7 linked regions of the Sus scrofa genome follow. The protein of the gene in region 2 interacts with the protein of the main gene of each other region in a pairwise test. Links are inferred from orthologs where the notes say so. Each region holds a gene or a part of one and is shown on either strand. Other genes may lie near its edges.

Region 1 (4,017 bases), on a different chromosome or scaffold from region 2:
CTGCCTCCCTAAGGCCAGGCCAGGCCTGAGGCACCACACATAAGTTGTCCTGTCTTGAGGGTTGTGTCTGAAGCTCTGATAAAGTCGGGAGCAGAGGCACAGTGTGATGTGTGTTGGGCGAGGGGGACCCACGTGCATTTCTCGGGGTGCCTGAGACCGGCCTCTGAGGGGCTACACCTCCCTACCTCCTTCTCAGTCTGGGAGGCCCCAGCCTGACCTGTGCCCTGTGGACTGCAGTCTCCGTCCATGGCAGAGGCTAGAGGTCACGAGGGGCCTCTCGAAGTCCCCAGGGTAGGGCCACCGCTCCCAGGGGTGTGGCTCTCCCCCCACACCCCCCAATAAGGCAGGGCCTTCTTCAAACCAGGGGCCAGGTCCTCGGCCCCACCTGCGTGCTTACCTGCCCACTCCAGGTTAGGCCTCCGCTGGCCACCTACGGTACCCCGGGGTTGGGGGCCTGGGGCCCCCAGGGAGAAGACGCGGGGGGCGCAGGAGGGGGCCGGGCCTAGGCAGCCAAGGGGCTGGGGTCTGCAGCTCTCGGAGAGCGGGGCCGAGGGGGAGTCTCAGACTCCCGGTGGGAGGGGCCCGGGGCCGGGTGCCCTCGCCGCCCCGGGAGAGGGTCCGGGCCGGGGGCGGGGGCCGAGGCGCCCCGGAAGGAGCCGCGCACGCCCCAGCACGCGGTGCCCGCCGCGGCGGCCGCGGATCCGGAGGTGAGAGCGCCCCCGCCCACCCCGCGCGCGGCGGGGCTGGGGGCCGGGGCCGGGCCGGAGAGGGGCGCGGGGCGCGGCGGGGCGGCCGGCGGCCCTTTTCCGCAGCGCGGGCCCTGCGCCTCCTCCCCGCGCCCGGGCCCGCCTCCCCGCTCCCTTCTTCGGGGCGGCGGGATGCGGGCGCCGGGCCCGGGCGGGGGCCGAGGGCCGAGGCCTGGCGGGCTAGGCTGGGGCCCCGGCGGGCGGCCGCGCGGGGCCGGGGACCCAGGGCGCGAGCGCGCCCCTCCCGGCGCCGGGGCGGGGGGAGGCGGGAGGAAGCGGGGAGGGCGGAGGGCGGCGGCGGGCGGGGGAGCCGGGGGAGCTCGGAGCCGCGCGGCGGGCGGGCGGGCGAGGGAGCGGGCGGCGGGGAGCCCCCCGCCCCCGAAGGAGGAGTCTGGCTCCCACTTGCTGCCTCGGACGCGCGGCGAGGCGGCCGCCGCCGGAGGAGCCCCCGCCCCTGCGCGCCTCCCTCCCCGGAGCCGGGCCCCTGCCTCCCTCCGTGCGCGCTGCTGCTCGCGGCCGCCGCGGCCGCCGAAGAGGAGCCCGGGGCCAGGTAGGGCCGGGGCGGGCGCGGCGGGCGCGGGGCGCGGGGCGCGGACGCCGGGCCGGGCGGGGGGCGCGGCCGGGCCCCTCTCCAGGCGCGGGGTGACGCCCGCGGCGCGGCGCAGGGGCGCCCGCAAAGTTACTTTGGCTTCCTCTGCCCGGTGCCGGCGGCCGGGCCGGGCACCCCGGCTGCCCGGCCGAGCGGGTGCCGCCGGGAGGGGCTCGGCCGGGGCGCTGGACTCCGACTGGGGCCGAGGGGTCAGCGAAACTTTTCCCCAGCTCGCCACTCGCTGCTGGCTGCTGGCGGAGTTGCTGGTGGAAGAAGCGCATTGGTGGGGTGCGAGTGATGAAGATGGTGGTAACAATAGCAGCCCCTAGGCTTTGAGAGCCTACTGTGCGCAGCAAAGCCCCTGCTGGGACTTGGGGGCAAGGGAGGCAGAGACTAATGCTGGGCTAGTGGCCACTTTTGCTAGGCATTGCTGGAAACTTCATCCTGCCGCCCACCCATCCACCCACCCACCCACCCATCCATCCACTCACTCATTCTACACATATTTATTACTGTCTGCTGTGTACCAGGCGCAGGGGATTCGGTGGCTAACCAGGCAGGTTCCAGCCCTCGCAGGCAATATTTCAGGGAATGCCCAGGCTGAGGAGCAGTTCTGTCTCTTGTGTGTTTATTCTGGGACTTGGTAAAGGAGAGTGACCCCGGGGGACACAGGGGAGGGTCAGTCTGAGAGCTGATGTGTCCAGGACTCTGTGGCAGGCCACCAGCTTTGGGTCGTAGCCCTGAGGTGTCCTCCACCCCTTCCCCTCCCACCCGCTCTCCACCGGGGCTGCCTGGCTGGGGGTGGGGTGGGGGTGGGATCAGGAGGCCCCACCCTGGAAGGGGCCCCAGAGCTGCTCGGCTGACCTCTGGGGGCGGTCTTTGCCCCCAGGGCTGGGTCAGAGCCTCCCCCAAAGACCCTTGCAGGCTTGGTTGCCTCCCCTCCCCATTTCCAAGGCCTCTATTGAACGGCCCAGAGGAGAGCTTAAGTGGCAAACAATTATGAAATTAAACCAGGGAACAAAAGTGGGCTGGTTGGTGAATGGTGAGCTGGCTTCCCAGACTTGAATGGCGGTAGAAGACTTGTTAGCTGGATCAGTCATGCAGGGGGAGTGGGAGGGGGTGTCAGGCAGGCATTACCAACATCAATACCCTACCTGGTATCTGGAAAAAAAAAAAAAAAATTAAACCAACTTCATGAATAATTGGCCATATTGGCTAAAATGCTTTAGGGGATCGGAGAGGCCACTGGCCGACTGCCATCTTCAAGGCTGGACCATCCACGGGAGCCCACGTACCACGGGACCATTTGGGGAGGGGGGGGGATGTGGCTGGGCAGAGGCAGGCCTCTGGTGGTGGGGAGCACACGAGGGCTGTTGACCTAGCCGGTGGCCGTCCAGAGGCATTCTGGAGCAGGGCACAGTTAGGGGGAACCTCGGTGGGGGGGGCGTGCATGAAAAACTGCTGCACGACAGCTTGGCTCCCTGCAAATTGGCTTTCCGAGTGGCAGCCCCAAACACTTGTAAAATCTTTTTGCTCAAGATGGGTTTCTCGGAAACGCTGTCTCCTTGAGCTCCCTCCGTGGAGGCACGTTAATGTGCTGACGGCCAGTCGGAAGGCGATAGTCCAGTTGCAGAGGTTTAATCGCATATTTGGAAGTGGTTCTGCGCAGGGCTGCCTTCCTGTTTATTTCTCAGCCTTAAGAATTTCCGAAGACCTGGATGGAAGGTTCAGAGTGTCCCCTGCATGTGGGGTGTCACCTCTCCGATGCATTTGCTATGGGAATACTTAAGATCACTCGTACCCTAACTGTGTTTATGAGCTGTGGGCTGTGTTTATGGACAGATAGACTAGATCTAAGTTTAGGTGAGAGGCTAGGGCTGTAGGGTCTTTCTGTTAGTCCCCAAATTGTGTTAAAAAGCCTGCCTTTTAAAAATTTCCCAGGGAGTTCCCATTGGGGCTTAACAGGTTGAGAACTTGATCAGGATCCATGAGGATGTGGGTTTGATCCCTGGCCTCCCTCAGTGGGTTAGGGATCTGGTGTTGCCCCGAGCTGCAGGGTAGGTCAAAGACAAGGCTTGGATCCTGCGTTGCTGTGGCTGTGCTGTAGGACCCCTAGCCTGGGAACTTGCATATGCCGCAGTTACGGCCCTAAAAAGAAGAAAAAATTTCCCAGTCCACCCATGAGACTCTTAAATCTTCATCCAATGAAAGTGACTCAAGTTCATTTGTTTTCCCTTGAACTTGCTACATTCCCTTGCAGACACTCACCTAACACTGGACACATCTCTCTGCCCCTGTCTGAGGGGTTTAAGCATGGCACAGAGATTCCACCGAAGGGTAGCACCCAGGGAGAAAAATCAGCCTTCTGGGTGCAGGTTCTCGACGAGTGGAAAAAAGAGAACCCTCCCCAAAGTGCAGTCGTTTTTTAATCTATCAAAATGATTTCATTTTTCCAATTTCAGGCCTGTGAACTGATCATGAATAGCAGGGCAGAGGAAATTAATCGGCCAGGCAAAGACTTTTAACAAGTAAATATTATGCACAGAAAAACATGCAATTAGTGGAGGTTAGTTAATGCCTTTCAAGTTGCGGCGGCGAGCTGCCTTTAAGGGTGGCATTTCTGCGTTATCCCTGAATTGTCTGTCAAAAATCTTTAATGCGACAATGTGACATGTCTCTCCC
Region 2 (3,500 bases):
CCTTTCCTGAGAAGCTCTGACCCAAATGTCTGCAGATCAGTCATCTCTCTTTTTCCTCCTTCCTTCCTTCCTTCCTTCCTTCCTTCCTTCCTTCCTTTCTTTCTTTCTTTCTTTCTTTCTTTCTTTCTTTCTTTCTTTCTTTCTTTCTTTCTTTCTTTCTTTCTTTTTTTCTTTCTTTCTTTCTTTCTTTCTTTCCTTCTTTCTTTCTTTCTTTCCTTCTTTCTTTCTTTCTTTCTTTCTTTTTCTTTCTCTCTCTCTCTTTCTTTCAGGTATTCCCTGCCTGGCCCTGTCCTCCTGGTATGTTCTAAATTTCCAGGCCTGACCTACCCTTCCCAGGTCAAGCATGACCCACTCTAGGAAGTTCTCCTTGGGTGTCTTTTTTTTTTTTCTTTTTCCTGTCATCCCTCTTTGTAATGTCTGCAGTCAAGATCAGCGCTGGAATTTGGCTCTGTCTGCTCTCTCTGGATGGTCCAGGCAGAGCTGTCTGGTGAAATATAATGCAAACCACATATGTGATTTTTAAATGATCTGGTAGCCATATTTTTAAAAAGTCAGAAGAAAAACAAGTGAAATTAATTTTTAAAATGTCTTTTCTCTTGTCTTTTTGGGGTGCGGTATATGGAAGTTGAATAGGGGGTTGAATCAGAGTTGTAGCTGCTGGGCTGCACCACAGCCACAGCAACGCCAGATCTGAGCTGAGCCTGGGACCTGTGCCTTACCTTGTGGTAATGCTGGATCCATAACCCACTGAGTGAGGCCAGGGATGGAACCTGCGTCCTCATGGATACTAGTTGGGTTTGCTACCACTGATGGAGTATTTTGCATTTTGTTTTCACACTAAGACTTTAAAATCTGGTGTGTATTTTATGCTTTCAACACAGATAGCCACAGGCATTGCTGCGGTATGGACAGTGCTGCATCCAATCAAGCATGCTGGCTACTTGAGAAAGCCAAAGTCCCGACAGATTATCATTAAAGCAAAAACTTTCATTAGGGACCTCATCCCCGTGACCCTCTTAAGGATGAGAACAGCCGGGGGCCACTCTGTGGACCTTCTTTCCATGAACACGCTTGCTGGTCTGTGGATTTCAGCTCGTCCATATCTGTACCAAGATGTCTATTTTATTTTCAGAGCTGGCAGTGAAGACACCCAAGCCTGGCTCAGAATGGAGCTGAAGACGTTGGCACCCACAGTACAGGACACCCTGCATGTGTCCATCACCAGGCGAGACTGGCTTCTTCAAGAGAAGCAGCAGCTGCAGGTAAGCAGGTGAAGAATCTGCAAGAAATGGGACAGTGTTTTTCTTATGCCTTTGAGCCACATGCAGCCAAGTGGCTCTTTGCCTTGCTGGAGTGCTGCAGTTAGAGCTTTGGGGTTCACTCAGGGAGCATCGGGTGGGGCGGTCGGAGACTGGAGGGCTTGCTGGAGTCTCACTGCAGACGAGGGGCTGAGAGCTTGGCAGCGTTTGTGCCTGTTCATGGCATTCCTCATTGCCTTCGGCTTTGCTTGTCTGCCAGGCCAATTTGTCACCTCTTATCATTCTGACCTTTAGAAGGTTCTTTGGGAAGGCGGAAAAGAAATCTGAGCTGTGGAAATCTTTTATGGAGATGGCTCTCAGTTCGCACCCTGGGTGGTAGTTGTTGGGAGGCAGAGTAAGGTGTGGACTGGGCAGGGAGGGCATGAATGGGACTGACCGGGGCATGGGGGGTGGGGGGTGGCTCCAGGCTTGCCCAGAGCAGGGGGTGGCCCAGAATTGTCCAGGGGCTAGAAATCTCGGTGCTGCCCTGAGTTACAGCCAGGAGGCCATCAGGAGTCTGGAAGTCTCCAGGTCCCCCCCACCCGCCAACCCAGGCAGGTGATCTTGAACCTCTCTCCACACCTGCTTGAGCCCAGAGGCCTTGAGGCAGGAATGGGAGCAGTGAGGAAACACTGACTTCTGGAAAGAATGTAGGTCTTGAACACTAGAGTTCAGAACCCAGTTTAAGCTCTCAAGAGCTCAATGAACTTGGCTAAGTTAATGGGACTTAGACAAGTTACTGGAAGCCCTCATCCCCACCCCACTGCGCAGAGAATTCTTTTTATTTTTTATTTTTGGCTGTGTCCGTGGCATGCAGAAGTTCCCAGGCCAGGAATCAAACTTGAACCACTGTAGTAACCAGAGCCACATTTGTGACAGTGCCAGGTCCTTAACCCGCTGAGCCGCCAGGGAACTCCCAGAGAGTTCTTATTATCTGAGTTTGCCCATCCAAGTCCCTATGGTAGCAAGCTGGCAAAGGGAAGCAAATATCGTCATGATTTGAAAACACTTTCCAATAGACTGCCACTTCCATGTGCACGGAGCATCATCGCAACGTTTGGAGAGCTGAAAACGTGAAATCTGGTGTTTGGTTTCCAACAGTATTCACCAGTTGAAGCTCTACCCAATTCCCGATGACCTTAGAGAGTACAGAATATAACCGAGGCCAGGGTGTGGAATGTTTAAGGGTGCATTCTTGGCAGGACTCTGGGGGAAGGTGGGTTTATTCATTTATTCATCAGGTATTTACCGAGTTCCTACTATGTGCCAGGTCCTGCTTGCCAGGCTCAGGATTCCTGTGGAATTTACCTTCTGGTGGGGGGCAGGGATGGGGAGATAGACAAGAAATGGCAAATGTCATAAATACCTAAATTATGTACCTAGCAGGGTGTATGGTGGTAGGAGGTACAATGCATGGACCAGACGCAATGTGGGGGTACCAGGTTCTACTTACTGAGAAATGAGATTGAAGCAAATACCTGGAGTTCCCTGGTGGCTTAGCAGGTTAAGGATCTGGCATTGTCACTGCAGAGGCTTGGCTCACTGCTGTGGTGCAGGTTCCATCCCTGACCTGGGAACTTCTGATGCTTCTGGTACAGCCAAAAAAAAAAGAAGAAGCAAATGCTTAATGGAAGAGGGGGAGGGGCCTTGCAGAAATCTCCAGAAAGTGCGTTTCCAGTGGTGGGGATAGCCACTAGAAGATGGCAGTGGGAGGGTGCCTGTATGTTCTAAAGGCAGCTAGGTCAGGGTTAGGGAGGACAGCAGAAGAGAAAGTTGGCCGTAAAGGGACCTTGCAGGCCTTTGTGAGATTTTGGGCTTTTCTGTGATTGTAGTGGGAGTGGCGGGAGGGTTTTAAGCAGTGAAATGATGTCATTTGACCACATTTTAAAGAGTCACTCTGGGAGTTCCTGTCGTGGCTCTGTGGAAATGAATCTGACTAGCATCTATGAGGACGCAGGTTTGATCCCTGGCCTCCCTCAGTGGGTTAAGGATCTAGCATTGCTGTGAGCTGTGGTGTAGGTCACAGACGTGGCTCGGATCCCTCATTGCTGTGGCTGTGGTGTAGGCTGGTGGCTGTAACTCTAGTTTGACCCCAGCCCTGGAATTTCCATATGTCAAAGGTATGGCCGTAAAAAGAAAGAAAGAAAAAAAAGATTAAAAGTAGAATTACCATGTGATTCAACTGTTTCATTTCTGGGTATA
Region 3 (3,500 bases), on a different chromosome or scaffold from region 2:
AACTGGGAAATTTCCTGAATCTGTTTAGAATTCTCTTAGTATAGATAGCCCTTATATCGGGGAGGTGCCCTGGTCATGGGAAAATAAAAGGCTTTTACCTGTCCCGCGGATGTTGGTCAAGCTCACTGAACTGCCAGTGCACGGGATACACATACATGTGGTAGTTTTTCTTAAAGTCCCTTAAGAGAAGGTCGATGGAATGGTCCCCAGCCAAGAGCCTCTTTTCATCCAGGTAAATTTTCTTGACCTGCGATCAGGAAGGGAGAACATCATCAGAGAATCAGACAAGTGAAGTGGAATTCTCGCTCGCTAAACCTCTCGGGGATAGGAACTCAACGTGGCAGAGGAAACCCAGTGCAGAACGTCACTGGAGAACCCATTACGCGCCTTCTCATCAACGCTACAGCCTTTCTTCTTTCTTATTTTTTTTCCTTAAGTTGAGAATTATGTTTGTTTTTTATTTTTTTCGGTTGTGCCTGTGGCATATGAAAGTCTCTGGGCCAGAGATCGAACCCACGTTACAGCAGCAACCACAGAGAGAACGCTGAGCCTTTCTTATTACACAGAATAACAGCAGACATTAAAAAAATAACTGCGGTTTTCAGAAGAAATTTGTCTTTTTTGATCTTTTAACCGAGTAAGGTTCACCACATTTCTTCAAACTGTGAGAGGGTTTTAATGGAAAGGGCTGAACTGACCTAGACAAAATCGTTCATTCGTTAGTGAGGTGTCCAGCTCTTCCCCCCTGGTGTTCTCTGTTCTTGATTCTCCCTGTATTTCCACCCCATGCCTGCTGAGTCTTGGGTTGGCCCCCTCATTGACATCTCCTTGTTGTGTATCTCATGCTCTCGAGCCTGTCTGTGACGACGTGTTGTGAGAGAGAGAGGCTAGAAATTATTTAGGGGCAATGCGTGTATGTACATATAAAACTCTCAGCTGGTGCCGTTGCCCATTATTTCACTGAGTCATTGGAAGCAATCAGAACAGAACTTCTACCCGTTCCCATGAACACAGCTACCAATGTCCCTCCTTGTCACTGTGGGTGAACTTCCTATGCTCCTCATCTAAGTCCAGCCCCTCCCTGGCGCTCAGAAGCTCACCCCTTCTCATCTACTCAAGAATACGCTGTGACAGTTGGGCACCTTTCCTTCTTTGCTGGGTTATTTCCAGAAGCACACAAACATCCTCTACCATCTCCTGATGGTAGATAGGGCTCTTTTTTTTTTTTTTTGGTCTTTTTAGGGCCTCACCCTTGGCATATGGAGGTTCCCAGGCTAGGGGTCTAATCGGAACTATAGCCACAGGCACAGCAACACGGCATCGAAGCTGGGTCTGTGACCTACACCACAGCTCACGGCAGTGCCAGGTCCTTAACCTATGAGCGAGGCCAGGGATTGAACCTGCATCCTCATGGATACTAGTAAGATTGCTTTCCACTGAGCCAGGATGGGAACTGCAAGAGGACACTTGAACTCACATTCCTCTCTCTCTCTGCCACCCCATTTCACTTTTCCCACACCGTTCCTCCTATTTTCTTTTGAAGGCAGTCCACGCAGGATGTTCTCTTTCCTGCTCTGCAGAAACAGCTCCTGTCAAGGTCAACTATGACTGCCACATGCCAAATCAGGGGCCAACTCTTAATCCTTAACCTATAAACAGCATCTGACACAATTAATGCACAACCTCCTTTTATTTTTTCTTTATGGCATGTTTCATCCCACCTGACTTAACTTATATGTGTATTTGCATAAATATTTTCTTGCATATGTTTATATATTTGCGTGCATGTTCATATTTGCATACATGTTTATGTTACTGTATATCATCTCTTTGTGTAGGATGTAAGATTACAAAGGCAGAGATTTTTGTTTGGTTCATGGCTGTGTTTCCAACATGTAAATCCATTCCGGGTACTGGGGATATACTCAGTAACTCCCTGGGGAATGAGTTTTCTTTGGGCGCTTTTAGGATCAATCTTCTCCACTTTTAAATTTTAATGTATTACTGACATCGTTAGTAGTGGGTTTCCCTTATATCACACACCTCTGTCTGGCCTATGAAAGAAAAAGAGATGTTTTGACTTAAATAATATGTCTGGGCCTGAACATGTAAATGCTGAATGGAGGTTTACTTTACTCCACAGATCTTGGCCTAGGTATGAGTTCAAGAGCCCTTGCTCAGGCCACCGCGCTTTGTGTAGGAATGAGGTTTGTTTCCCAAACCTTGTGGCCTGAACGATGACCACTGCTATATGTTAACCAAGTGTGGTTGCTGATATGCAGTGGAAGGCAGCCCTTGCCCCTGGCCCCAGCCCCTGACACCTTTTCCAGGCCCGCAGACAGACGCCCAGGCAGCTGAGCCATGGTTAACTTACTTTATTTCTCTGCTTCTCATTTAGATATCCAGCATGTTCAGGGTTAGGCTCATAAAGCTGCATGAGGATATTCTTGAGCCAGTCTCTCATCCTTAGAGGAAACTGGGTCACTTCAAAGTCCGTACAAGCAGGAATAGCTGTTCCAAGCAGAAAATAAATTGATCTTGACTTTTGGTTCTTACTCCTGCCCTGAGGATTGTCCTCATGACAGGATGCTTAATGACTTCCAGTGACTGGCAGTTTCCTCACTGCCCCTCCATCACAGCAGTGGTCCTTAATCCTGGTGACACAGCAGAATTGCCAGGAGTGTTTTAAAAGCATCCCAAAGATGCCAGCTTCTGTTCAAAGAAATTCTGATTTGATTGGAGATGAGAATCCAATCAGGATGCTTTAAAAACCTCCACAGGTAATTCTCATGTGTGGCCAGGGCTGAGAACCACTGCTCCAGAATCAGAGAGTTGGAATTACGAGGTAGAGGTCGCAAGAGCTGTTTCTTAGGGGAAAAGAGAAAAAGGCAGAAGTTAGCTTATACTGTGGTAACAATGTTAAATCTCTGTGGCTTAAAGGAAAAAAAGTTTACTTCTTTTTTTCAGGCTCATTGAGATATAATTGACATACCACACTCTAAGTGTAAAGTGTGCAGCAAAATGACTTGACACACATCTATCGTGTAGTGATTGCTGCATTCATCACCTCATGGTTATCCAATTTTTTATTTCCTCGTGGTAAGAACTTTCATGGTCTACTTTCTCGGCACCTGTGAAATACAGCAGTGTTGAGTGTTTTGTCGTCATCCTGTTGTACATCCCATCAAGTGTTTACCTCTTGATCCTCCTTCACATCCCACACGAGTCGGCAGGAGAGCTCTGCTCATCGCTGGCTCTCGGGGCTCCGGATGGTGGAGACTTCACCCTCTCAACACCATCTCAAGACGAGATGAAGGGTGAAGAGCCACACACCAGCTCTTATACGCTTCTGCCCAGAACTCACATGATGATTTTTGCTCAGATTTCATTGGACAAAGCGACTCCTATGGCTGCATCTAACATCAAGGGGGCTGAGAAGCTGAATCCTCTCGTGTGTCCAGAAGGAGAGGGAGGTGAGTGAGCACTGCTAATGTGGAAAA
Region 4 (4,166 bases), on a different chromosome or scaffold from region 2:
GCTTCTAATTTTTAAGGCATTTTTCATGAGCAATGATAATGAAAATGCCTATATATATGTTAAAAAAACACCTATATATATATATATATATATATATATATTAAAAAAAAGCCCTGAAGAATTTGACAGATATTGAAGCATATAGTTTATTTGAGGGTCATCTTAAAAGTATACTTAAGAATTTTTTAAGTCAGAGATTCATTTTTAATAAATGTTGTTAGATTATTGCATCAGTTAGTCACCTTTTGTTTTTCTATTTTTGATGCTTCATGTTGCATAATATCTAGGATACAGTAACAGCCTGGTTGCAAATGCTTGAAACAGAAATAGGTTCTTTGGAGGCTGCATTTCAGAGCATCCGACTGTGAGGCTAGGAAGCAGAGCTAGAGTTCCCTCAAGGTCCGTTGCCCAGGATTTGGTTAGAAATCATTGTATCTAGGATAAAAACGTTGAGTCGGTCTTTAGGCAGCTTGAGTGTATAACTGGCCCTTTCACCCCAGGACTTATCGAGCGCCCCCCCTCCCCAGAAGAAAGCGGGAGGTAAGCTCAGTTTCACAATCCGGGCGTGGGCAGGCAGTCTGCACGCGAGCAAGAGAATTAGAATTGAACACTCCATTCCATCTCCCCCGACCATGCACACACACATACCAGGGCACCCGCACGCGTGCGTGCACACACGCATGCACACATACACACACACACTCTCCATCACCAGCCGGTCAAGGGAGAAAAGGGTGATACCTTTTTAAAAACCGAAAAGCAGAAAGCCATTATTAGCAAGAGCTATATTGAGCATGCTTGCCAGACAGGCAGCAAAGCTGAGCTCCAGTTCCGCCCAGACATGTGCCTTGCCATTTTCATTTTAATCAGCCTGCTCAGGATGGCTGCTGATTCATTTTGCAGGATGTCCCCCTGGGAGCCAAGGTGGAAGCCTGGGGCGAGCGGCTATTGCATCGATGCAGCTCACATCAGACGGGGTGGGGGCGGGGAAGAGCACAGACTGCCACACGCCACATCCCAAATTTCAATATGGCTATTTAAAATCCTTCATGAAACCACATCCTTTACAGTAACTATAATAGAACAAAAAGAAAAGAAAAAAATATGTCACACTGTCATTTCATTATCCAACTACCCGCAGCACGCGCGCGCTCACACACACACACACACACACACACACACACTCTCTCTCTCTCTCTCTCTCTCTCTCTCTCTCTTCCACAGAGAGGCTCGCAATTCTGCCTCTTTTATGGTCACGGTAAAATGCACAATACACATATGTATTTTTTTGCTTTTTATTTACCTGGTAACTAGCTGGGGTGGTACCTGATCTGGCTGGAAACTGATTTGCTGGATTGACAACCTTATTATGCAGTGAGCTTATTATTGATATGATTCTGTTCTCGGTTGCCATGGCCACCGTGTGAGAGACATTCAATTTTCTCTCTTCCATCATCATTATCTATGAGGCCATCTGTTGTGGAAAATGAATTCAGCCTCATTTGCATGACTGATAAGCATTTTTTTTATCTACTTAACAGAAGGTCATATGCCGGGGATTTGGAGCTCATGAAAAAAAACGTGGAAAAAAAAAGCATATCGAGAGGATGAGTGGGAGTGTGTGCATTAGGGGCTGTATGGGGAAGTAAAACAGATCCCTCAGGCCTGCGAGCCTATCACACTGCATTTGTCATTCCTGCCGGGGCGACATTTTTTTTCCCTAAGCTACTGCACACTAAACAGGGAGAGAGCTTTCCTTGCAGCCTTCTTGAAGCCCCCTGATTTTTGTACTCATTGTTGGTGGGTGTATTTTAATTTTTGATCCCCTGGACTATGGGTTACGATATCAGTATTCACTGAAGACAAAAAGCAGCCTTTTCTGCATCTCGGTGGTAGGCATATTCCTCATCATCCTTTCAGGCTTGGGGTGGAATAGGGCTGGTTTGCTTTCTGTGTGTTTCTAGCCAGCACAGTCACCAAAATTGAGCTTGTCTAACTTGGGAGCTGTTGTGGTCATGTTGTGAGGTACGTGATCTTTGTTAGGTTAATTCTGGGGACTTAGTGGACAGGGTCTGTTTTACCGTAGCTCAAGGGCTTGTGCTATAATGCCTATTGTTTGCTCCTTTTAAAGTTATTTTTATAGCATGGCTGGCAGCTGAAATGTTCCTGGGCTATAGGAGTTTGTAATCCACAGAAATCTCTCTCTTTAGAGTTGAAATGGGTACTAGGTTGCATGCCTTAACCGTGATGTTGTTTATAAAAAAAAAAAAAAAAAAAAAAAAAAAAGACCTCGCTGCATGGACAGTACTTGGATATGTGGATAGTGAAACAAAAACTTCCCAGAGACTTTGCTGGATTACTTTACATTGCAAATGAAGCATATCATTTTTTGCAAAGGCTGTTAAAACATGAGATATTCTCGATGTAATGTTATATTTGCCTAATGGTAAGAAAGTTGACTTATACTGTTAAAATTAAGAAACTCAAATAAAGATTTTTAACTATAACTGAAATGTTTGAAGTTCATAAAAATGAAACAGTGTTTCATTTGTAACAGAAAGATGACTTGAACATCTTTGCAAGTTCAAACTGCAAACTTTTATCTTCAAGATAGATCATAATAAGACCTAAATTTATATATGATTCAAAATATAGAGCTCTGATTTTGAATTTAGTATTAATTAAGCCATGATAATTTCTTGCACCACCAAAACAACATAGTCTATAAAATTTTAAGTTATTTAATTAGAGTAAAAATCTGTTATAATAAAAGCTTTTTGGTTTAAGTGTTTGTATTTTTTACTGAATAAAACCAACTTCATAGACAAAAGCATCCTAGGACCACCCTTACGACCATAAGGGAGGCTTTCTTTCTAATTGCTCAACTTCATGAAAGTCATGTAGCTTAGATGATAGACACATGTCTTCCATACAGATAAAAATGGGCTTATCTTTAAAATTATAAAAAGAGTTTTTCTACAATACTCCTTTTTGAAAAACAGCACCACTGTATGCCCATAACTTTTCGCCTCTCAAAAACTTTGAATCCAAAGTGTTGATTGTATGTTATCCATGCTACTTACTTATACATTCTAGGGGGGGGGAAAGGGTATTTATTTTTCTAATTGACCTAGAGGAAAGTGTATGATTCTGTCACCTCAAGTACAATAGGTCAATTGGTCAAAATTCTTCTTAAAATTGTACTGTAGCAATAAACATTCTTTATGAGAGTCGACCTGAGCCGATATGTTTGTGTAATAGTTCTCTACTTGATGGCACTTTTAAAAACTCTCACTGCAGTATCATAGACTTCTCATAGGCAATAGCAGCTGTTACATAATCCTTCCTTTTTTAATCAGCCATATTTTTTATATTTTAGCTTGAGTATTAAAGAAATACTTTCTTTTTAATATTAATTTACACTTAAAGATTTTTAGAACAATAAAAGCCTGATAGTTTACGAAGGTTATTTCAAGTGACCTCACTTTTCTCAGAGGACTGTAGTTAAAGCATTAGTAATATACCTGGATTTATATTATGATGTGAAGGATTATGCAGTTGCCTTTTGATCAGTACATATAGTCCAGCTTTTTGCAGCAAAATTGTCAACTTCTGAGAAACCTAGGAGATAGCACAGTTGATTTTTTCCCTCCCCCCCCAAGAAAAGTTAATTACCAATCTTGGTTGGATTCTTCCTTGCCTCCCTGACATTTGACTGCTGCTAATTCACTGATTAATCTCATTAATGTGATTATAGCAGGATTTGGAGTTGGCTGCCATTGTTCTGTAGACAGTGCTATTCAGCCCGAGTGCTTGCCACCTCATTCAGTTTTGCTGTGATTTTTCAAAGGCTGGTTGAGTGAGCTATTGTGAGCAAGGCTGCTCTCCCTTTCCCTTTCAGCACCGGGAGCTGTCCGCTGCTGATAGCAATTACATTCAGCAGTGACGGACTTCCTACTAGTTTACTGGCAATGTGAAAATGGCTCAGTTTCATCACCTTAACCATGGTACCCGTTGAGGCAGAAGTGGCAGCCGGTGTCATGGTCACAACTGGATATTCTGAAGGTTGTGGCAGGAAAGATAGACAATCCTTGTATCTTTATTTTGCACGTAAAATTTTTATCCTACTTTTCAAATTTCCGAACATGATTTTATTAAAATTACTG
Region 5 (3,500 bases), on a different chromosome or scaffold from region 2:
GAAAAGGACAAATGAAATACAAAGCTCTAAATGCATGTAACCATGAAAACAAGAACAGCAGTCACATAACATACTATTAGCATAACAGACGCCACTGCTTCTATTTAACAGCCTTTGCCAACACATGCCTACTCCCTTTCCTAGCTGGAAGGAACAGTTTCCTCTAAGAAATACTAGTGCATCATAATTTATTGTTAAAGTTACAACCTATGGAGAAATTAACACCTTGTCGATCTAGAACACTGGCAACCATTCCTCACATGCAACTTCTCTTAGAATAAGTCCCCTTGGCTGATGGGATGAGGTTTATGCTACAGAACCTTCTCCCCAACAGCCACGAACCCCCTTCTGTGACAGGCCCCTGCTGCCCTTGTCCCCCTCCCCAGACCAGCATTCACCTTTCCCACCCCCAAAAAGTGCAGCTCATGGTAAGCTTATATAGAAAATGATTTTAATGGGTGTCCCACCAAATATACTCTTCTAAAATCCCCCTCCATAAATCAGAGATAATGAACATGAACTGTGTTCTCGGATTTTTTTTTTTTTTTTTTGGAAAGCTTTCACTGGGTCAAAAAGGTGTTGAGTTTTGTCTCATGTATTTTTTTCCTTTAGATCCCAAGGGATCTAAAGGAGAAAACAGGTCATTTTCCCAGATGACCCTGGCCGGGCTCGGTTTCCCATCCCCTTTCCTGACTCGGGGTCTTTCCCAGGGACCAGTTATTGCTTCCATGACACGGTGACAAGGAACGTCCTACAAAGGCTGTGGGCCTGCTCACAGCCCACCTGCAACGACACCTCTGCGCTGAAAAACGCTCCAGCCCAAGAGCTGTCACCCAGAAGAAACATCTTCTGCCCTCAAGGTCACTGAAACGTTCTTAGTGCAGTTTAGAGGAAATGCTAGGATTTGGCATACATCAAAGGATTATTGGCACAACGCTCTCCGTACAGTTTCGTGTATAAATATCGCTGTGTGCTTAGGCCAGAGCCACGGCTGGATCAGCCGACCTGCACCATGCTCATGTCCACGAGGACCTCGTCTCTGCCCTTGGAGCCCTGCAGGGACAGCTGCCGCATCCTGTCCTCCAAGGCCCGGGCCTCGGACGGGCCACTCGGGCTCTTGCCGTTGTCACCGCCGCTGCTGCCGAGACCCCGATGACTGCCGGCTTTGTCACTCGTTTTATTTTCTGCCCCTTCTGCCCTGTCTCCTGTAGAAACGTAAAGATCAAGGCGTGAGTACCAAGCCCGTCAGCCGGCTCAACCCAGACTCTCCCAGTGCTGCTCCACCGAGCCTGTCACAGAAGCCCCTCCATCGCGTTAACGTCTCACTGCCTGTGTTTCTCGAGAAACTCCGTATATCCCTCATCTTTAGAGATGAAATCTGTCACACCCCTGTGACAGCTGGGAAACAGACCTCTCTAGCAGGTGCTTGTCAAGAGGACTATTGTGATGAGAGGCAGAAGGACGCTGATCCTGGTCAGGCACGGAGCTGGGAACCATCTCTGTCCCCACCCCAGCACGTCCCCAGCACCCCGGCATCCAGGACGGGCACTCACCTCGCTCCACCTCGCACTCAGGAGAGGAGGCCCCACTGCACTCGCTGCGAGGTCCCAGCACCGGGAACATCATCCCGAACTCCGACAGGGACACAGGGCTGGGCAGGTCCAGGCTGCCCGGCCTCACGGCCACAGGGCACCGGTCAGGCACCTCGGACGGACTTGTGGGTCCTGAGCTGAAGCTGGACACAGACTGGGTTTCCGAGTCATCTTCAGACACGAAGGTGCTGCAGTTGTCATCTTCGAAGGCCTCGGAGGCCACTAGGATGAGAGGGGACAGTCGTCACACAGGTCTGAAGGACAGCAGCCCGGCCCCTACACACCTCCAGATGTGTCCACTGCTGGAGGAGCTGGGCAGGGGCTGGGAACTGCAGGACCCGGCCACTGTGGGCACCTGATGAAAGGGACGTGGCTCGCCTGTACTCGAGTGGCCAGGCTCTGGAGCACCCTGAAGAGAAGCCGCTGGGCCCCGTGGCTGGTCAGTATCCTTCCCGTCACTTTACAGCCCCTGCCTTGGAAGTCACCGTCACCAGACCCTGCCTCATGATGGAAGGTGAATTCAGCCAAAGATACGGGGCTTTTCTTCACCCCAGTCCCCAAGATAGATCCCCAAGAGCACAGGAAGAGGGCTGGCCTGCCCAATGCATCCTAAACAAAGCCAGCCAGACTTGAGGAATCTTCCTCCGTTCTGTGGGAGCAGCAGGAGCTGCTGGACGAGACAGCTCTGTGCGGAATGTCTGCTGGGACCTCTGTCTCCCTCCAAGTAACTTGTGATCCCATAAAAGACATGCTTAGAGCCCACAGAGATCACCATTTGCCACAAAACAAAAACAAAAACAAGCCCACAATACCTTTATGTTGCTCTGTAGCTTGTGCCTTACTCGTTTTGTGGACCAGAATAAGCAAGGCCCAGAGATTCTGGTGGTTTAAAAGCTGCCTCGGCCTTAAACTATTTACTCCTCAGCCCACATGCCATCCCACGCCCTTGTCCTCCTCCCTCAGCTTTAAAAACGACCTGTGGCATCCCATGGAGGACTGGCGCCCATGAGAAGGACTGTGATGCTGGGCACAGACAGTGGGCTCAGATCTGAGAGCAAATCCTTTCTCCGCTATATGCTCTGTAGCCTCAGTCAAGTTACTGAACCTCTCTCAGGTTCATGTTCCTCTCCTCACAGGTTTACGAGATGGTGAGCACTAATGTGCTCACATCACTGATGCTCAAATTATAATTCCTTCTTTTACCTGGGGCCTGACGCGTGAACATCTGTTGGCTGAATTAAAGCCCACCTGAGGAAGGTGGCAAGAGCCATCACTCCACAGAAGGGGCAAAAAAAGGTCCCGGAGGCGGCACTGGGGGAGGGAGCGGGGGTTCTGGATTGACATAGGGGGAGCCGAAGCAACTCTCTGAGTCAGTTTCCCAGGGGTGGCCAGACACCACATGCATTGTCCATTGGGGGCTGGCACTCCTTCAATTAAACCTGACCACTGCTCTACACAGTGGACATCAGGGACTATCATGTGCCCTGCTTTACTGGGGAAGAAAGAGATAGAAGTTACATGCTTGCCCGCATCACGTACTAGTCATGGTGCAAAGGCCAGGACTCGAATCAAATCGGATTCCAAAGTCCCTATTCCAGACAACTCTTCATCCCTGCAGGACTTCTCAGAGCCTGGAATGCCCTCATATTACTTGGGGATGAGAGTGTGACATTTTCCAAACATGACCACAGAATCCTGATTCTGCAGATACACAGCAGCATCTTGGTGACTAGTGTCCCAAAACAGGGTGGGAAGGGGGTGGGGGAGAGAAGAGCAGGAGCAGGCCACATGCACCCCCAACTCACCAGAAACAGCATCGGGCTCGGGCTTGCCCCCTGACAGGTCCTCAGTGGCTGTGCTGCCCCCCTCAGCGCCGACGCCACGGCCGCGGGGCCCCATGGCACTGGA
Region 6 (3,500 bases), on a different chromosome or scaffold from region 2:
AAAAATGAAAAAATCATTAGAATAATAAACGTTATACATATTTAATAAGTAAAAAGCTATGTAGATAAAGATACTCCCACTGGGAACTCTGTCTAGTCACTTACGATGGAACACGTAGTATGAGAAAAAAGAATGTACACATGTAAGTATAACTGGGTCACTATGCTGTACAGAAATATATATATAAATAAATGATTAAAAAAATTAATTTAAAAAAAGATATTCCTCAAATTTATGTCGGTATCAACAACTGGGAACAATCTTGGCATTCCCGTCATGGCTGAGTGGTTAATGAATCCGACTGGGAACCATGAGGTCAGGGGTTTGATCCCTGGCCTCATTTAGTGTGTTAAGGATCCGGCGTTGCCGTGAGCAGTGGTGCAGGTCGAGAACATGCCTCCAATCCTTTGCTGTGGCCCTGGCATAGGCCGGCAGCTACAGCTCCAATTAGACCCCTAGCCTGGGAACCTCCATGTGCCACAGGGGCAGCCCTAGAAAAGACAAAAAAAGGGGGGGGGGGCACAATCTGAAGTATAAATGAGGGAATATTCACATACTGATGGAAGTAACAGGATGCAAAATACAAAATGAGATGTACACTAAGAGTGTAATATATTAAAAACATGGTAGAAAGGCTTTGAAAATTAATACATAAAAATGAAGTACTGTGAAAATTTCTACCAATCAAATTTTTCCCCATCAACATAATTATCCTGCTATCCTAGTGAACTGAAATCAGTCAGTCTATATATCATCCAAAACAGTTTCATTAAGAGCCAAAATAATTCTTTCTGTTTGTTTGTTTTTTACTTTTTTAGGGCCGTACCCTCAGCATATGGAGGTTCCCAGGGTAGGGGTCGAATCAGAGCTGTAGCTGCTGGGCCTACACCACAGCCACAGCAATTCGGGATCCAAGCCATGTCTTCGACCTACACCGCAGCTCACAGCAATACCAGATCCTTAATCCACTGAGTGAGCCCAGGGATCAAATCTGCATCATCATGGATGCCACATTCTTTAACCACTGAGCCATGACAGGATCTCCCAAAATAATTCTTATTACATGGCCAAGGGGACAAAAGCAGTCCCAGGGAACAAGACAGAAAAACAAGTAGCTATTCTCCCTTGTAACCTTTTTCACATTCACAGTTGAGAGCTTTTGTTCTCTTTCATGACTTACCTGCAGGCACGGTCAGGGGAATTAAGAATTTCATAGTAGAATACTGAAAAGTTGAGGGCAAGACCTAAACGAATAGGATGTGTTGGTGGAAGTTCTGTCATTGCAATATCACTAGCAGCTTTATAAGCCACTAGGCTGTTCTCTGCAGCCTCTTTCCTGTCGTTTCCTGTGGCAAATTCAGCCAGATACCTGTGGTAGTCCCCTTTCCTAAAACAAAACAAAAACAAACAAAAAAACAACAGAATTAGGAATAATACTTTTAAAATAAATTCCTCAAATTTTTCTGTAGTACATAAAATCAAGTATGCAAAAAAAATGCATAACAATTAACACATATAATTCAGAAATTTCAAAAAGTCTCTTTCAGGAATGACTGCCTCATCTCTTTAGTTTTCCTCAGATTTCACACTGCCAAATGTTAAGAAAAATCCTAGACAAAATTAACCAAAAGGGCTCAAAAAAAATCAAATTTAACCACTTGACAGACCTGAATTAAAACAGAAAAATGGTTCCAAAGACTGACACGGTAGTTTATTAATCATGAAAAAAAACTTTGCATTACTTGTAGCTAGGGGGGGCAGCCCTACACAAGCCAATGAACATAATAAATAGGAAAAGCAAAACCTAGGACATTTTTACAGTAACAGTCTGACCGTCTTAAATGCAGTAATACTGATTCTTCTTAGCAGTAAATTTGCAAATGTGTGTTCAAAAATTAATGTAAGTTTTGAGATTCAGTCCTCCCGTTAACTACCCTTTCAACATTAAATAAAATGCTGAAAACCTAAAAGAAAAAGTGATTCTAAAAAGGCCAACATTTAATCTGACATTTTCCCATCTAGTATAGAACCTACATTTTATAATAGAAAACCTTGGACTCGCCAGTGTTAGCTGCTGGAATGAGGTGTTTGTCCAGTACATCCAGAATGTCACAACAGATTAATTTTAGCTCAGTCTCAACCTAAAAAAAAAAGTCAAAAACTTTAAATACGAAATTATACAAATTATCATTCTTTTTTTTATTTTAGGGCCACACCCTCGGCATATGGAAGTTCCCAGACGAGGGATCAAATCCGAGCTGTGGCTGCTAGCCTACACCACAGCCACAGCAACTCCAGATCTGAGCCACAGCTTGTGGCAATGCCAGATCCTTAACCCACTGAGCGAGGAGGCCAGGGATCGAACACGCACATTCATGGATACTAGTCAGGTTCTTAACCCACTAAGCCACAGCAGGAACTCCTATCCTGGAATTCTTAAATTCCAGTATTTTACTACTGGATTACAACTTCCTTTTCTAGTTCCTTTCTTACTATTATTCCTACTTAAAGGCACATCAGGACATCCGGTCTCTTGACTCTCATCTTCTCCCAATTTATCAGTCCCTCTTTTTGCTTCCTGCTTCCTTTCCTACTTACCCCAAATCCTATAATCTAGCACACAGACTTCTCTTTTCAGCACATTAAACTTTCTCATTTCCTCATCCCTGAGACATCAAACTTGTCTACTGACGATTCCTGTTTGTTCCAACGTATTTGAAGGTAATGGTCACACTAATACCAGCTCACCACCTTCTATGTGGTACCAGGTATGTTACTTAATCACTCAGAACAACCTTGGTTTTTCCCATCTATAAAGTGGAATAGTAACCTATCCTTTACAAGATCATTTAAAGATTAAATTAACTTGCACAATTACATAGAGTGTAATATCTCTCCCTATGCTTTGTGACTGTTTCTGTCATTTCCCTCACTGTACTCTTAAATGAGTGTGATTATATGTCTCTCTGCTCCACTAAAATCAGTTTCTCAGTAGCAGCACTAGTGACACTTTGGGCTACATACATCTTTGTTGGGGGGGGGGTGCTATTCTATGCATAATGGGATGCTTAGCAGTATCCCTGCCTCTACGCAATAAATACCAGTGGCACCCTCGAGCTGTGAAAACCAAAAACGTCTCTAGACATTGCCAAATGTTCTCCGAGGAGCAAAATCAACCTCTGGTTAAGAACCACTACAGTAAATCAAACTTTTGTAACCAAAACCCACAATAAGAAAAACATCACATATATATGAAACAACTTTATGAAATGCCCAATGCCATGGGGTATTTTCTACTCTATTAAAACAATGATGGAGTTCCTGCTGCACGCAACAGATCAGTGGCGTCTCTGTAGCAACAGGACGACACAGGTTCAACCCCAGCCTGGCACAGGAGGTCCAAGGATCTGGCTTTGCCACAGGTGCAGCCTAAGTTGCAAATGTGGCTCAGATCTGATCCTGGGCCTGGGAACTCCATATGCTACAGGGCTGCCAAAAAA
Region 7 (3,500 bases), about 62 Mb from region 2:
AAAAATTTTAGCTTTATATGAGTCTTTAAATTGTTAGAAATATTTTATTATATACAGTTAAAATAGAACTACATGGTCATTGTAATGATTATATAAATGATGAAAATCAAGTAGTATGTATAGTTACTCCTAATAATTGGGAAAGAGCAAAATGAATAAACAATAAACTAAATTTCTTTAAGAAAAAAGTCTGTTTAAAAGCTGCATTCACTTGGTAATTAAAACTGTTTTATTGACTGTTTTTGTTGTTCACTGTTCTGTTGTATTTAATTTCAGTTTTTAAGATGTTAGAAAATTGCCTTTTATATTTTTTAATACTTTCAGTAATGTTTTGTCTTTTACACAAAATATGTAACATGTACTTTTTGAAATTTTATAGTGGGCAGAAATGGATCTGGAAAAAGTAACTTCTTTTATGGTAGGTATTATTTTTCGAATTCTAAATATAGTGAGACCTGGGTATCTTAAGGTAGTTTTATCTGAGGTTATGTCCTCATGAAACACCAGAAAACAGGGTTTTAATGTAGAGTGTAAGAATCTGAGTTCTACTCTAGTGATTAATTAGCCATGCGACACGACAAAATACTTAATCTCTCAAAGTACTACTTTATTTTAAAGACAGATGTTTGCCCTGCCTACCTTATACCTGAGATCAGTAGTCAGAGTCAGATGAGATAATACTTAGAGAAGTGCTTTCTAAACTTGGGTGCTGGAGTTCCCGTTGTGGCTCAGTGGTCAACGAAACCGACTAGGAACCATGAGGTTGCGGGTTCAATCCCTGGCCTCGCTCAGTGGGTTAAGGATCCAGTGTTGCTGTGAGCTGTGGTGTAGGTCGCAGATGCGGCTCGGATCCCGAGTTGCTGTGGCTCTGGCGTGGGGTCTACAGCTACAGCTCTGATTAGACCCCTAGCCTGGGAACCTCCATATGCCACGGGAGCAGCCCAGGAAAATGGCAAAAAGACAAAAAATAATAATAATAATAATAAAATAAACTTGGGTGCTGTATGTAAATGTATGTAGGTAGGGAGGGAAAATATGGGTGCAGTAGAATAGTTAATATTGTTTTGGAAAATGACTCATCTCTTTGATTTAAGTCAATCATTTTAATAAAAGATGGAGGGGTTTAAAAACTTTAGACTCAACAAAGACTTTTGTTTTTGTTTTTGCCATTTTTTGGGCTGCTCCTGTGGCATATGGAGGCTCCCAGGCTAGGGGTTGAATCGGAGCTGTAGCCGCAGGTCTACGCCAGAGCCGCAACAACACAGGATCCGAGCCGCGTCTGTGACCTACACCACAGCTCACGGCAACACTGGATCCTTAACCCACTGAGCAAGGCCAGGGATTGAATCCTCAGCCTCATAGTTCCTAGTGGGATTCGTTAACCACTGAGCCACGACGGGAGCTCTCACAAAGACAGTTGTTGATTTGAAAATAGTAAATAGAGCTTTGAAAATTATCTCTAAAGATAAAATGCAGTTAAGAATAGTAATGCTTCTGTTAACTTCTTTTTTTTTTTTTTTTTTTTTTTTTTTTTTAGGGCTTCACCCATGGCATATGGAAATTCCTGGGATAAGGGTCAAATCGGAGCTATAGCTGCCGGCCTACACCACAGCCACAGGAACTCGGGATCTGAGGTGCATCTTCAACCTACACTACAGCTTATGGCAACACCAGATCCCCAACCCAGTGAGCCGGCCAGGGATTGAACCTGTATCCTCATGGATACTAGGCATGGATACTAGGTACAGTGGGTACTCCAGCAAATCTTTGGAAGAGAAAAAATATTTTAACAGAATCGGACTGTATAAGGAGTAGGTTGAAAAAATTTTGGACCTCTCAGTTGGACTAGTGTTTGAGGAAAGGTGGTGGGGGTTAGTAATAGCAAAGGTTCTATCCCTTCTATGCTCACAAATCTAAATAGTACTCTATACCCCATCACTGGTGGTAATTTGGGGATGGTGAGAAAAGTAGTATTGGAATGGAAGTATTTCATAATCTCTTGGAGAGGATACACATATATACACATATTCTTTTTTATAGTGTCAAAGGTCTCTTGATATCCTATTAAGAATATAGGAATTTATCCTATTTTGTTAAATTTCAAAATTTAGAAATTCCCTGCTCAGTAGGTTAAGCATCTGGCATTGTCACTGCTGTGGTATGGTTTGATCCCTGGCCTGGAAACTTCTGCATGCTGCAGGCATGGCCAAAAAAATAAAATTTATATCCTTTATTTTTAGTAGGTAAAAGCAAATATAGCATGAAGCCTAACCAGTGTATACTTTGATCAAGAGGTATACCTTAGTTCTGCTTATCTTTTTGTGTTTCTAAGTGTTCTCTTTTTGTTTTGTTTCAGTAAAAAACTTTTTAATGTTTTTTTAGTATCATTTCCTAGCCAATTAGTCTGACGTATGGGCAGATTTTCTGCATTTATTTTGTTTATATGAAACAGGTAATCTACTTTATCTACATCATTCATTACCTGATACACTGTATTCTCTGAAAGTATGGGAATTATGAATAGGGCATAAATCCTTTTATAGATTGTACTAATAATTATTTTTGTATTTCTAGCAATTCAGTTTGTTCTCAGTGATGAATTTAGTCATCTTCGTCCAGAACAGCGATTGGCTTTGCTGCATGTGAGTGAGGCTGCTTTAACACATTATTGATGTTGAATACTTCCAAAAATACATTGTCAATTCTGGTGAACAGTTATTTGTTCAAGTTTCAGATCCTTTGTGACCATGACGCAGTCAGTCTCTCTTTTAATGTGTGGTGTTCTGCTGTGAAATTTAGTCTACTATATTAATACAGGATAAAGGCTTAATTTTTATATAATGGTAATTAAGAAGATTGTACAAGTTCCCTTTGAATGGATATGTCTTCCAAATAAATGTAAATTCTTTATTGAAAGTATGGTCTGGTAAGGGGCTGAAAGCAGGTTTGCTGGAAAGAGTTAAGTTGGGAATTAGAAACTTTGAGAATTAGGATCATAAGTTAATTGGGAGTGTAGAGAAGCAACCATTGCAGACTAAACAACGTAAAGTTGTTTTTAACCATGTTTGTACTTAAATGGTAACATTTTCTCATATGAAGGGCAGTATATTTATAGTAATGACAGTTGTTAGAATTTTAAATAGATAATTATGAATAATAAAATAATTTTAGGATAAGAAAGCATAAAAAGCTGTGATAAAATGCTATCTGTCTTTCTGTGTTTTTTTTGTCTTTTCTAGGGCCTCACCTTTGGCATATGGAAGTTCCCAGGCTAGAGGTCTAATCAGAACTGTAGCCACCAGCTCACGCCACAGCAACGCAGGATCAGAGCCGTGTCTGACCTACACCACAGCTCACAACAACGCCAGATCCTTAACCCACTGAGCGAGGCCAGGGTTTGAACCCACAACCTCATGGTTCCTACCTGGTCGGGTTCAGTAACCACTGCGCCATGACGGAACTCCTATCTTTCTGGTTTTTAAGCATGGTTTATAATTTTA

Evidence for each region.
Region 1: the proteins of DISC1 (region 2) and MPPED1 interact in a two-hybrid assay, tested with the Homo sapiens proteins (2 studies listed by BioGRID and IntAct). The link is inferred for Sus scrofa from reciprocal best matches to the Homo sapiens genes DISC1 and MPPED1.
Region 3: the proteins of DISC1 (region 2) and SPARCL1 interact in a two-hybrid assay, tested with the Homo sapiens proteins (2 studies listed by BioGRID and IntAct). The link is inferred for Sus scrofa from reciprocal best matches to the Homo sapiens genes DISC1 and SPARCL1.
Region 4: the proteins of DISC1 (region 2) and MYT1L interact in a two-hybrid assay, tested with the Homo sapiens proteins (2 studies listed by BioGRID and IntAct). The link is inferred for Sus scrofa from reciprocal best matches to the Homo sapiens genes DISC1 and MYT1L.
Region 5: the proteins of DISC1 (region 2) and SH3BP5 interact in a two-hybrid assay, tested with the Homo sapiens proteins (2 studies listed by BioGRID and IntAct). The link is inferred for Sus scrofa from reciprocal best matches to the Homo sapiens genes DISC1 and SH3BP5.
Region 6: the proteins of DISC1 (region 2) and YWHAE interact in binary tests that used the Homo sapiens proteins (3 or more experiments, as listed by UniProt). The link is inferred for Sus scrofa from reciprocal best matches to the Homo sapiens genes DISC1 and YWHAE.
Region 7: the proteins of DISC1 (region 2) and SMC3 interact in a two-hybrid assay, tested with the Homo sapiens proteins (2 studies listed by BioGRID and IntAct). The link is inferred for Sus scrofa from reciprocal best matches to the Homo sapiens genes DISC1 and SMC3.

Annotation. Positions count from the first base shown.
Region 1 is NC_010447.5:5,493,695-5,497,711, reverse strand, and holds the start of MPPED1 (metallophosphoesterase domain-containing protein 1), read left to right. Parts: upstream 1-1,217; 5' UTR 1,218-1,296; intron 1,297-4,017. UniProt on the Homo sapiens protein: May have metallophosphoesterase activity (in vitro).
Region 2 is NC_010456.5:58,838,455-58,841,954, reverse strand, and holds part of DISC1 (disrupted in schizophrenia 1 protein), read left to right. Parts: intron 1-1,132; coding exon 1,133-1,262; intron 1,263-3,500. UniProt on the Homo sapiens protein: Involved in the regulation of multiple aspects of embryonic and adult neurogenesis. Required for neural progenitor proliferation in the ventrical/subventrical zone during embryonic brain development and in the adult dentate gyrus of the hippocampus.
Region 3 is NC_010450.4:131,421,454-131,424,953, reverse strand, and holds part of SPARCL1 (SPARC-like protein 1), read right to left. Parts: intron 2,512-3,500; coding exon 2,375-2,511; intron 248-2,374; coding exon 99-247; intron 1-98.
Region 4 is NC_010445.4:131,926,693-131,930,858, forward strand, and holds the start of MYT1L (myelin transcription factor 1-like protein), read left to right. Parts: upstream 1-1,366; 5' UTR 1,367-1,892; intron 1,893-1,923; exon of another isoform or gene 1,924-2,025; intron 2,026-4,166. UniProt on the Homo sapiens protein: Transcription factor that plays a key role in neuronal differentiation by specifically repressing expression of non-neuronal genes during neuron differentiation.
Region 5 is NC_010455.5:2,505,602-2,509,101, forward strand, and holds part of SH3BP5 (SH3 domain-binding protein 5), read right to left. Parts: coding exon 3,398-3,500; intron 1,815-3,397; coding exon 1,554-1,814; intron 1,206-1,553; coding exon 997-1,205; 3' UTR 1-996. UniProt on the Homo sapiens protein: Functions as a guanine nucleotide exchange factor (GEF) with specificity for RAB11A and RAB25. Inhibits the auto- and transphosphorylation activity of BTK. Plays a negative regulatory role in BTK-related cytoplasmic signaling in B-cells.
Region 6 is NC_010454.4:47,610,828-47,614,327, forward strand, and holds part of YWHAE (14-3-3 protein epsilon), read right to left. Parts: intron 2,142-3,500; coding exon 2,035-2,141; intron 1,388-2,034; coding exon 1,181-1,387; intron 1-1,180. UniProt on the Homo sapiens protein: Adapter protein implicated in the regulation of a large spectrum of both general and specialized signaling pathways. Binds to a large number of partners, usually by recognition of a phosphoserine or phosphothreonine motif.
Region 7 is NC_010456.5:120,976,129-120,979,628, forward strand, and holds part of SMC3 (structural maintenance of chromosomes protein 3), read left to right. Parts: intron 1-379; coding exon 380-418; intron 419-2,574; coding exon 2,575-2,642; intron 2,643-3,500. UniProt on the Homo sapiens protein: Central component of cohesin, a complex required for chromosome cohesion during the cell cycle. The cohesin complex may form a large proteinaceous ring within which sister chromatids can be trapped.